Linked DNA regions of Ovis aries. The protein of the gene in region 3 interacts with the protein of the main gene of each other region in a pairwise test. Links are inferred from orthologs where the notes say so. Each region holds a gene or a part of one and is shown on either strand. Other genes may lie near its edges.

Region 1 (4,281 bases), on a different chromosome or scaffold from region 3:
TTGTGCTTTTTTTTTAAGTTGACACAATAACAACATTTATTATGTGCTTAAGACAATCCTGGCACTATTTTAAATGTTTTATACAATTTGCTTAATTTTTACAACTCAATAACAGAATGACTACCATTATACCCATATTATAGGCAAGAAGACTGAGACATCAGATGAAAGGAGGAAGTAACCTACTTAATCATGGAGATGGGAATGACAGCCAACCCCAGTATTCTTCCCTGGAAAATCCCATGGACAGAGGAGCCTGGCGGGCTACAGTCCATAGGGTCACAGAGTCGGACATGACTGAGCGACTAACACACACACTCCCCCTACAGCTGCACAGGCTCAGCAAGGGAGCCACAAGCCTAGACTGTGAACCTAGACATCAGCTTCAGATGCTCCCTCCTCTGTTCTGCTCTGCAAGAGCAGCAGTAAAGACCCTTGGGCTTTTCCTTGGAGGGATGGGAGAATAAGCTTATGGTTCCTACAAGCTGCAACTCCAGACCTAGGGCTCTTCAAAACTGCAACCCTGGTGGATCATGACCCTGTAATTCTCCCTATTCCATCTGTCACTTCCCCACTTCTCTCATAGCCTCTAGCCTTGGGCTGATGAGGTGGTCACATGGGGACAGGCGGGACTGCAGTCTGGGACTAATTTCCACTCAGCCACACTTGGAAATCTCCTTACAGCCTGGGTAGCAGCTACCATGAGCAGAAGACAAGGTGGAGGCCAGGCAGGCAATTCCCCAGAGCCACTTGTGCCCAAAGCCACCTTTTTAGGTATCACATGCCAGGACTTGACAGCCAACCTGGCTCAGTATCCAATTCCAACTTCTGACTCAGATGCCTAATGTGGCATGCCTGCATATGCTGTGTTCAGGTACACTTCTGTAGAGGATCTGGTCCCAGTGTTGATTTGGGGAGGTGGGGAGAGACAAGCGATGCCTAAGTCAAGAAGAGACAGGGATTTTCTCAGCTGAGAACTTTGCTGAGTGGCATTTTCCACCCAGACGCTTTCACTGAACGCTGACATCAGAACATTCTAGAAGAGATGCCAAATCAAGTCGAATAAGGTTCTGATATCCTAGAATTTTTAAAAGTAAAAACCCATGTTCTCAAAAATGCCTAGAATATTCTCCTAGAATTCAGTATCTCACATCCACACTTGCTAGCTTTTCTCAGTGTTGTTCTCCATTAATCTGGTGGTCGATAGTTTGGTAGTCTGCTGATTCAATACTGCATCTGCCATTCTTTGCTAATTTTCAGTTTCAACTTTCTCACATATTCCCCTTTCATTTCCTGATAACGTCAGCACTTCATGGCAACACAGGGACACCACTGACCAGGTCCTTCTCTCTCTACCACGCAGTCTAGCTGCACCACTACCCTCTCTCTTGCTCTCATACTCATGATCTTTCTTCATGTCTATTTTTGGTCTTCCTGGCTCAAGCTTCTTTGGGCCACGGAAACACAACCCTCACTCTCTTTCTCTCCCTCTGGTATGTATGCTGCTGGTTGGAGCCCCCCAGGTAGAAACTGCTGCAGAAATCATTTAGTGCTCCTTCCTCAGGAAAACTGATGGCTTCCGGACCACAGCTCAGTTTTTAAGCTGGATGACCTTCTGATGGGTTTTAAACTTCGAATTGGATGTGGACATTTTTCTTTCCGATGACAGAATCACTGGAACTTCCCCTTTGCAGTTGCTTCCTTTCCTTAAAGGTAGCTGAATCTTGCTGTCTTTAAAAACCTTTTCTTTCCAAATTTGCCTGCCATGCCGACTGTCATTAGCGCCTCTGTGGCCCCACGGACAGGGGCTGAGCCCAGGTCCCCAGGGCCCATCGCTCAGGCAGCCCAGGGCAAGGGCACTGAGGCAGGGGGTGGAAACCCAAGTGGCATCTACTCAGCCATCATCAGCCGCAATTTTCCCATTATTGGGGTGAAAGAGAAGACTTTCGAGCAGCTCCACAGGAAATGTCTGGAAAAGAAGGTTCTTTTTGTGGATCCTGAGTTCCCACCGGACGAGACCTCCCTGTTTTACAGCCAGAAGTTCCCCATCCAGTTCATCTGGAAGAGACCTCCGGTGAGTAGCTGACTGCTCGCTGCTTGGGTTTTTTTCCTCAGGGAAAACCTCCTACTCAGCACTTCTCCACAGCACAGCTCATGGGGGCACAGGGCACTGGGTGGAGGATCCTGGAACAGCTCCATGGGGCTCTGTCCTCAAGGGAGGAGGGCTCATTCTCACTCCTTGCTCTCTTTCTGAAAAAAATCTTGTTATTTTATGAAAGCAATTGGAACTCAATTTAATTCACCCTATAAAAAGGAAATATTCCTTTCCCAGAACAAATTCCAAACTGGAATAGCCAAACAACTTCCAAAATTCTGACTTGGAGAGGAGTCCAGATCTACTCTCTGTTGGGTGTCCTGCATCTTATTAGGATTGTTTTCACTCTCTCACTGGAGGGTGAAAATTGTGATGTTCATTTTAGTTTGCCAGTGGCCATGTGGTTCTGAAATACAGAGTCCTAAAAAGAGGAGAATGGCAGCGAAGACTACTTTTTCAAGCACAAAATGTTAGGATTAGAAGGAGAAGCCCCAGCCATCATTTGTCCTAATCTCCTGAATGAGGAAATAAAGACACACCACAGCAAAGCCTATTCAAGACACGCATGACAGCCTGGATGAAAACCCTTTCTCTCTTAAGGGCTCTTCCAGCCTTTGGCTTCCATGTACAGTAATCTACCGGAAGGCAAGTTACATTTTCCAGGCTTCCTTCTCTGATCACACCTCTGACATGACCCTTTCTTTAATTCAATAAGTATTTTTGAACGTCTTCTAAGCCAGAAACCAGGCAAGCAACTGAGGAGTCAGCGTAAATAAGAAAAACAAAAATTCCTGCCCACCTTCAGCCAAGAGTCCTGAGGGCAAGACATGCTTTGAATAAGATGGATAAATTGCAGGAGACAACGCTCAGGGTGCTATGGGATCAGAAGGCAAGGAGAGTTAACCTCCGCCAGAGAGAGAGAGCCCCTCCTGAGGAACCCATGTTATCTGAGTGCTGTTTTTTAGCTTCATGGGGTTAAACTGGATAAGCCTCGCTGTGGTGTGTCTTTATTTCCTCATTCAGGAGGTGAGGACAAATGACGGCTGGGGCTTCTCCTTCTAATCCTAACATTTTGTGCTTGAAAAAGTAGTCTTCGCTGCCACTCTCCTCTTTCCAGGGCTCTGTATTTCAGAACCACATGGCCACTGGCAAAGTGAAAAGAAGCACTGGGGCCTGGTGCTGTTCATGAGCCATGTGTCTGTTTTTAACCTGAGATGAAGTAGCCAGCAACCCTGTCTTCACACTGTGTTCCCCAAGGGCCCCACCCTGCACCTGCCGGTTCTGCGGCCAGGCCCATGACTGTCCTGAGGGCCCTCGGTTTACAAGAGAGGATTGGAAAGAACTTCATTCCCCAAGCCAGTCACTGCCTTGCTGCCAGGGCACTGGGACACATCACATCCCTGCTGAAATACCTTCAACCACACCGCTCTCCCTGCCCCCGCCCGCAGGCCTTGAGATCAAACTCCCTACCTGGGGGATTGCCTCTCCTCCAGCCAGCCCGGCCTCCCTGTCCATCTCTCCTTCACCCTCTCCCCTGGACCCTGTCACACGCAGCTGCTCTGTTGTCTCAAGTCTTATATCTCTCAGCCTTTGCTCCTGCTGTCTGCCTGCCATGCCCTTGTTTTTATCTGCTTTGTTCTGCCTTACCCTTGCTGTGAAACCCTGCTCAGGTATCACTTCCTTCCAGCTTTCTCATGGCCATTCCCATCAGCTGAGAGGGGGGGAGCATTCTCATTCCTCTTGGGAGCCCCTCACTCAGCAAAGCACCTAGCCCGCAGGAGGCACTCAGCTGCTGGTGGTAAATGAAAGCCCACATCACAGAGTATTGACCTCTGAGAGGGGACAGTCCTGTGCTCCAACCTGATAGTTCCTGAAAGCCTTTTCTAACAGTTCTGCAGAGACAAAAACCAAAAAACTTACAAATACTGCTTTTAGTGAAATTGTTGGTGGATTTTAGCCTTAAAACTTAGACCTACACATTAATAAACATGCTTTAAATGGGTCTGTTATGCTCTAGGCCCTAGATGGGTCCTGAAACAAACTGCCATTGTCAATGTGAAAGGAAGGCCATGAGAAGCCTTGTCCTAAATTGTGCTCCCACCACCACCGCCCCCCCCAAGTCCGGAACTTTGTACTGTCTCTAAAGGGCCAGATAGCAAAGCCCAATCTCTGTTAAAATGTCCCTA
Region 2 (3,540 bases), on a different chromosome or scaffold from region 3:
CAAGTGTGAACAATATTATCTCAAAACCTAGAGTAAAAGATTGTCATGTATAAAATGTTAAAAACAGCTTTGATATTGATGAGATGCTGAGAAGGAGAGAGAGGGTGAGGGTGGTGGGACATGGCCTGGATGTTGGGAATCAGGGAGCAAGGGGAATGCAAACAGAAGTATGGCAATAGCTTTAGGGGTTAGGGCAAATACAGCTTCAGTGGAGGGTTATGCAGAGGATGGGAGCTGCTGGTTGCTGCATTTTCAGGGCTCAGGACAAGGGATTTAGGCTGGACATACAGATTGCCAGGGTGGCTAAATAGAGGCCTGGGTCACAGTATCAGCCAGGATTTAACTCAGCTGCTAGTGACAGGAACACTCAAAATAACAGGCTTAAAAAAGAGAGGTTACATGGAAGACCTGGAAATGGGCAATCCAGGGCTGGGGTGTTGGCCTTACTGCTGTGAGGGACCTGGGCTTGTTCAGGCCTTCTGCCTGCCCCACCCTCACCCCAGTTCCTGTGGCTTGGCTTCTTCCTCATGGTCCAGGATGGTGTTGCAGCTCCAGCCATCACATCTCAGCTTGCAAGTCCCACCAGAGTGGCAGTTTATCCTTCTCTGGCCAGAACTTGGTCATGTGGCCGCACCTCCCAGTAAGAGAGGGAGATTGAGGACTATCATCCTGTAGCTGTATGGCAACACACCCAACTATAACAGGGTTTCAGGTAATTTGAGAGGAAATAGAACTTTCATAACTAAGAAAAGTCACAGGCCTTCTTCATCTTGGGTTATCTGTTCATTCAGTGAGTAGGGGGTACCCCACGTGTTCATGCACTTCTCGAGGGCAACAGCGAGGCAGGCAGATGGGCTCTGGTCTCGTGACGCTGATTATCTAGCAGGAGGTGAGACAGACAATAAACGCATAGCACATGTGGCCTGGTTGACAACCTACATTCTGTACTCAAGTCTTCCCCAGGAGCTCTCTTCAGATGTACCTGTACATAATTAATGATCGAAGCCGACAGTGTCAGACATCACTGCTAATGCCTGCGGGCGCCATGGGCAGCCTGCATCAGCATCGCTTTGATAGGAATTCAGCTCATCCATCAAACACTCCCGAGGGCCTGCACTGTGAGGAGTGGAGGGGAAGGGGAAGGGGAGAAGTAAATAATTAGTAAGCCAGATCCTTACCTCGAAAGCAGCTGGGGACGCATTCTGCTGCCAGAGCCCTCATGGGTTGAGGATAAGAATCCAGCAGTAAAATCCCAAGTCTTTTTCTTCTTCTTCTTTTTTTTTTTTTAATTTTATTTACTTTCTTTTGGCTGTGCCAGGTCTTCATTGCCGTGCGGGCTTTTCTCAGCTGCACTGCTCCAACGTCTCATTGCAGTGGCTTCTCTTGGCAGAGCGCAGACTCCAGGTGGCGCAGGCTTCGGTGGTTGAGGTCCTGGGTTCTAGAGCGCTAGCTCAGTAGTTGTGGCACGTGGGCTTAGTTGCTCTGCGGCCTGTGGGAACTCCCTGGGTCAGGGATCAAACCTGTGTCTCCTGAACTGGCAGGTAGATTCTTTACCACTGAGCCACCAGGGAAGCCCCCAGGTCTTTTCCTTGAGTAAAGGCAGTTTGGGGGCTCTTTCCTTGCTAAGGTGCAGGGCAGAATGATGAGGATAGTTTTGTGAGTCCTACAGACTTTTGAAGCCAACCTGGGAAAATTGAGAAAATACAAGGACATGCGCATGACCTTTTCCTTCTTGTATGACCTTCAGCCATAGTCCCTGAGCCTGGTTTTGCTAGGAACCCGGCAGGTGTCCAAGTTCAGTTCATATGTTGTAAGTGGGTGTGGGTTCTAAATTAAACCCCAGTGAGCGCTACCCACCCAGAACTCCTGTCCCGGCCGCTGGACAAAGACCTAGAGATAGTGATTCTCAAACTGCCTGAAGGGAAGAGTCAGTTCTTTAAGTTTCAATTTCCAGTCTGTTATAAAAAAAATATTAGAAAAATGAAATTAAAATCACATACAAAACACAAACTCCGACTTCTGTTAGTAGATGCAGGAGACATTACTCTGTTCAATTGCTCCAAACGTTTCTAAAAGCAAACTCAGTCCTGAACTGGAGTTGGCCAGTAGCAAAACATTCAGGTCATTAAGGCAGCACTTTGGACAGTGTTGTCCCTCCAGGGCCAGGTGGGGACTGTGTCCTTCCCAGCTGTGTGTCAGGACAGTTCAGAAGGAGAACGAGGAAGCTCCCTAAGCAATTTTGATGTACCTCATGCCCCACACATCTGTTTCCCTGCTGCCCCCCACCCTGCTCCCCACGTTTTCAGCTGCTTCACGAGCAGAGCAATAAAAGGAGCAGCTTGGCTAACTCTGCTGTCATAGTCCCTGTGTGCAGGTGAAAATTTTACTGCACACTTGCAGCCAGAGAAATGAAAGGTCACAGCTAATTGTAATCATTATCCAGGCTCCCCTACCTGACCGGGGCTTTGGGGATATACTGCTTTGATAGCAAAGCAGCTGACTGCAAGGCTGTCTTCTCTGGGTGGCTGGCCTGGGCTCGCCAGTCTGAGCAGGGTGGGAAGGTCACTGGTGACTGGGGACCCTGTGTTGCAGTTCTCCAAGGAGAGGCACGTCATGGACAGGACCCCTGAGAGGCTGAAGAAGGAGCTGGAGGAGGAGCTGCTGCTGAGCAGTGAGGATCTGCGCAGCCACGCCTGGTACCACGGCCGCATCCCCCGACAGGTACCTGCCTGCACGCAAGGTCATGTGCCCAGGGCTGTTAGGAGCAAGCTCCAGTTCAGCCCAAACGAAATAATATGAAGTGGCTTGCGGTGACTTAACGTAGGCCCGTTTCTAAGGAGATCTTGGGAAGAGCTAAGGTCAGAATTCAAAGTCCATTTGCCTGTGGCCAGTGAGGGGATGAAGGAAAAGCAGTTGTTCTGCGGTCTGTAAACACGGGCCCAGTGGGAGGCAGCCATGCAGGGTGGCACCTCGGGGAATATGAGGGCGGGCTGTGGTTCAGCTAATTGAACTCCTGGCCAGCTGCCTGCAGCCTCATAGCCTGTGGAGCCTGCTTCCTTCTTAAGGCCGTGGTTTAATTTCAGGTGAAAAGAGGGTATCATCAGGGCAGGTAACCCAGAGAAACAGGCCGCCTGTGCCCTAGTGGGGCCGGCAATTATTCATTCTCTGCTGCTGCTGCTGCTGCTGCTAAGTCGCTTCAGTCGTGTCCGACTCTGTGCGACCCCATAGACGGCAGCCCACCGGCTCCCCAGTCCCTGGGATTCTCCAGGCAAGAATGCTGGAGTGGGTTGCCATTTCCTTCTCCAATGCATGAAAGTGAAAAGTGAAAGTGAAGTCGCTCAGTCGTGTCTGACTCCCCTATCCGGCCCCTGGCCCAGAAATGGGGAAGACGAATTTTACCCGCGACCACAGACTCATAGCCAGAATATACTTTGTGTGATTGTCCTTTGGGTCCTAGCCATGAATAATGTTTTTGTATTTAATAGTATAGAAATTGAAAAATAAGTGCAGAATTGAGGTATAGAATTTTCCTTGAGTTTT
Region 3 (4,262 bases):
AGGCTCTAGGGCACGCAGGCTCAGTAGCTGAGGCTCACAGGCTTCACTGCAGCACGTGGGATCTTCCCAGACCAGGGGTCGAACCCGTGTCCCCTGCACTGGCAGGTAGATTCTTAACCACAGAAGCCCCACCATATTTTTAAAAATCAAGAATATAAAAAACACCAAAATCCAGGATGAACAAAACATCAAAGTGTTAAATAAAGGCAGCATCAGCATCTGATTTTTGCAGCAGGTTCCGGTACTGCTCAGCATGGCCTGGTTAGAGATACTGCCTTTGTCTGAAGTTTTAACAATTTTGTTCATCTTGGGTTTTGGACATTAATTTTTTTTAATCTTTTTTTTCTTTGGTTGCACTATGAAGTATGAGAGATCTTAGTTCCCTGACCAGGATCAAACCTGTGCCCCTGCATTGGGAACACAGTCTTAACCACTGGACCGCCGGGGAAGTACCATTTGGGCATTAATTTTGATTTTTTTTTTTCAATTGCATCAAAATGCTCTTTTTCTTGATCTCTGAGTGTTTTGGGGCTTCCCCTTAAATGCTGTACACAAGGTGAGGACCTTCTTGCTTCACCCTGGTCCCAGCGGTAGTGGGGCAAAACATATCCCTGGTCCCCCTCACAGGGCAGGGCTGGCAGGAAAGTCTCCAGGTAAGAGAGGTGACAATCGCATGAAAAATGAAATAACAGCTAATAGGCATTGAGTCTATAGGCCAAGCACTGCCCTCACTTCCTCCCGACTTTCCTTTCCTGAGCGCCCTAACTGTGCTGAGTGCCCTCCCAGACGTGGGATAGAACAGACGTAGAGATGCTTCCCGCACCATACAGAATCCACATCCCGGTTTGGGGAGAGACGATAATATAACAAAATCCATAAGGATCAGCAGAACGTGAGGTATGCAATGCTCCTGGCTAAAGACGGAGAGGTGGGGGGCTGGAATGAAGAAAAGGAGCTCTGAGCCTTGTTTCAGGCACAGTCACCGAAACAGCACGGTCACCCAGGAAGGAGAGGTGCCGCATGGCCCCCCTCGCAGACGGGGGAACTGAGGCAGCCCACCCAGGAGCGGGCAGGGCGGGGCTCCCAGCCTGGGGCCGAGCCAGGAGGGGGCGTGGGGTGGAGAACCGCGGAGACCCCCAGCAGAACCGGGACTTTCTCCACTCAAAGCGACCGCCTTGATGGTACGTTGGGCGGGACTGTCTCCGCCTCCCTAAAAGGCGAAAGGCCAGGTTGGCTCAGCCCGGCCGGTGTCCGCCCCGCCTCCTCGCCATGGACCACCCCGGGGTGGGCCCTCTAAGGCCGTCCCCCGGGGCTGGCAACGTGACCGCTCGCCCTCAAGTGTGCAAGTTCATTCATCCAGGGGCCCCTGCTGACTCACGCTTATGAAAGTGATTTTCCTGGCCCCGCCCTCCGCCCGCCTCTTCCCAGCCCCTGAAATACCCGGGCTTCCCGTCTCTCGCACCCTCTTGAATCCCTACGGGGTAACCCGGCTCCCTGACCCAGGTTCTCCGAGAGGCCTGACCGCGCTCCCCAGTGTCCTCGACCCCGGCCGGTCAGGTGAGTGACCCGGGCGAGGCTTGGGGGAGGTGGGAGAAGGTAGCCCGACCCGGGCAGGGCCCTGGGGCCAGGCAAGGGGACCCCAGGCGGTCCTGAGGGCGGACCACCCCGGCTCCCCATGACCAGCATGACCCCCCCCCAACCCCCGAGATCCTCCTCCCCCCCTCCTGGCCATGCCCACCTCCAGGTGCCTGGCACCCTCGCTGACAGCTGCCCTGCCGGCTGGCTTGCTGGGAGTTCACCTCAGCCCACGTGATGCTACTCCAGGCAGGAAAGAGAGGTGTGGCCAGCCCAGGCCGGCTGACCAGGTCCCGCGGGCAGGCTGGGTGCTGCCCTCCGTCTCCGCCTCTCCTGTTCTCACGGACCGAGCCCCCAGGGTCGAGGGGGACCTGGCTTCTCACAGGAGGGTTGGGGGTACCGAGAATGAGGAGTGGAGTTTCAGAGGGTCTGGAGAGCTCTTGGGGCTCCAGATGAGGGAGGCTCTGGGGGCACTGGTATCAGGGGGTGGGTGCAGAGGCCAAGGGCTCACTCTGGTGACTGGCAGGTGGCACTTGGGCTGGCGGAGCACCTCCCCATCCTCCTCTGCCCCGGCCTCACGGCACTTTCTTGGGGGCACTGTTGTGTCATCTTCCTCAGAGGGGACTCCGACAGGTGTCACAGGGCAGGGTTTGGGGTGTGGTCTCTGACATTCCTGGAAAAGACACCACCCTCCTGACCCCAGTTTTTCCCTTTGGGCAATAGGGATAACAGAAAAAAAAAAAATCCACGGGGTGGGGTAGGAGGGTTGTCATTAAAGTGAAATGAGCAAAAGTACCGCAGGTGCTCAGTAAATGTAGCCATACAGGTGTCCTAAGCCTTAGAGCAGTGTAATCTTCAATAACCCTAGAAATTGCAATGCTCCAAACTCTACGCTCCACACCCAGGAAGGTGCAATTATTCCCATTTCTTTTACGCTGCTTTTCTCCTGTGAACTTGAAGGCCTTTTTAATGTCAACATTTGCCGTCTTCAACCAGAGGGACGTTGGAAACTGACCTTCCCAGCTCCCCAAAACTAAACAGTGTGTGAGAAATAGGAAGTTACACTTTCAAATGGAAAGTTGGCAGCGTGCACTCTTCCGAGGAGGTTTTGAGAGCTCCAAGTCTCGGGACTTGGGCCCTGTGTATTGCGGTGCAGGAAGCAACCGCTCAGGTCAGCCTCTGGGTGGTGACCTCATGCGTGTGGCATCCAGAAGTTTCTGGCATGAGCACTGGACGTGGGGTCCAAAAGCCCTGGTGGTGAATGGGGCCTTCTCCCTCCTGGGAGCGTGAAGACAGGCAGCCTGCAGTGCCTCCTTGTCTATAAACGGGGGCTCCTGCAAACACCCCTCTTACTGGCGCTGGGAGGATTCACAGGGACAGGGCAGAAAATGACTTGTCCTGGGGTGGGCGCTCTGTGGGTACCCCATGTGGCAGGCTGTGGGGTGTCTAGGGACCAAACTCTTGATTCATTATCCACTGGCTCTCTGACATCGGGGGCGTGGCCTCACTGCCCTGAGCCTCAGTTTGCTCGTCTGTAGAGTGCTTTCCCTGAGGATGAAAGGCGCCGATGCGAAAGGATGTCGTGACAAGGATGTCACCTGTTCCTGGGGACAGTGAGGACATCAGCGTGGAGCCCTGGGCTTGTGTGAAGGGAGTGTTCTAGGAACCACAGCCCCTGCCCCAGGGCCACCGGCACACCCAGCGGCTGGCCAGTGAGACGCTGTCCCCCCCCCCCCCAGGTGGAGCACTGGGACAGAGCTGCACTCAGCCTGGAGGGGCCTCCATCACACGCTGTCACACCCCGTGACACCCTGTCACACTGCCTCGGGGGGCACGAGAAGGCCCTCGCACAGAGCAGCCCAGGCTCAAAACCAGTTGAGCCGGCACCCCTTGTGGCAAATTCCCCGCAAGCCATCCAGGACGGTGAGACACTTGCTGGGCCTCAGCTTCCCCATCTGTAATATGGGTGCGGTCGTGAGAGTACTTCTAACAACCCGGTTAAATGTGGGTTAAGTTGGTGAATGTGCGTCAAGTGTTCAGGGCATGCTCAGCACCCGGCTCAGCCCGCAGAAGTTCAGAAATGTTGGTTGTTCTATGTGGCTGTGGTGTCACCCCAGAGCGGACAGCGGGGTCCCTGCAGGGAACCAGGAGTGGAGTGGGGCAAGGGGTCCCTGATGGGGGATACAGCTCATGGCCCAGGCCCCACTGAGGCGGTTCTCTGGAGACCAGAGGGCACACCCCCCTGTGACACTGCTGCCTCCAAGCCCCCCCCGCTCAACTGCCAGCCGGAGATGACGGCGCCCGCCTCTCCAGGTGCCTGCGGGGCACAGATGCTGTGGCTTAGCTGCAAGCTCCTCTCCTTGCAAACTGTAAAGGCTGTGGGCGGGCCCGTTGTCAGTGCCGTGGCAGCGACACCCAGGTCCTCTGGCCAGACCCCCCGGCTGTCCCCTCCCCGCCCGGTGGGGGACACTGGTGTTGCTGTCACTCTTGGCACATCAGAGGTCCCACGCTGGCCTCGGTCGTGCTCCCTCAGCCCGTTCAAGATTTGCAAAAAACGTGAATCAGTTGCATACTCTTCCAAATCAGGGAATTCACATAAAAATCCGGATTTAAGCTTTTTCCTGGAAGAATTCTGAAGGCGGGTGATGCCAGGCTCCCATCCCTGGCTGCTCGGGGCGGTCTGGGCC

The links.
Region 1: the proteins of OSGIN1 (region 3) and CAPN3 interact in binary tests that used the Homo sapiens proteins (3 or more experiments, as listed by UniProt). The two-hybrid records come from large-scale screens. The link is inferred for Ovis aries from reciprocal best matches to the Homo sapiens genes OSGIN1 and CAPN3.
Region 2: the proteins of OSGIN1 (region 3) and BCAR3 interact in binary tests that used the Homo sapiens proteins (3 or more experiments, as listed by UniProt). The link is inferred for Ovis aries from reciprocal best matches to the Homo sapiens genes OSGIN1 and BCAR3.

Annotation. Positions count from the first base shown.
Region 1 is NC_056060.1:35,935,864-35,940,144, forward strand, and holds the start of CAPN3 (calpain-3), read left to right. Parts: upstream 1-1,441; 5' UTR 1,442-1,765; coding exon 1,766-2,074; intron 2,075-4,281. UniProt on the Homo sapiens protein: Calcium-regulated non-lysosomal thiol-protease. Proteolytically cleaves CTBP1 at 'His-409'. Mediates, with UTP25, the proteasome-independent degradation of p53/TP53.
Region 2 is NC_056054.1:70,768,711-70,772,250, reverse strand, and holds part of BCAR3 (breast cancer anti-estrogen resistance protein 3), read left to right. Parts: exon of another isoform or gene 1-1,790; intron 1,791-2,592; coding exon 2,593-2,721; intron 2,722-3,540. UniProt on the Homo sapiens protein: Acts as an adapter protein downstream of several growth factor receptors to promote cell proliferation, migration, and redistribution of actin fibers.
Region 3 is NC_056067.1:9,817,812-9,822,073, forward strand, and holds the start of OSGIN1 (oxidative stress-induced growth inhibitor 1), read left to right. Parts: upstream 1-1,460; 5' UTR 1,461-1,557; intron 1,558-1,738; exon of another isoform or gene 1,739-1,797; intron 1,798-3,314; 5' UTR 3,315-3,498; intron 3,499-4,262. UniProt on the Homo sapiens protein: Monooxygenase catalytic activity. Involved in regulation of cytokinesis; promotes RHOA activity, probably acting locally at the midbody in late cytokinesis.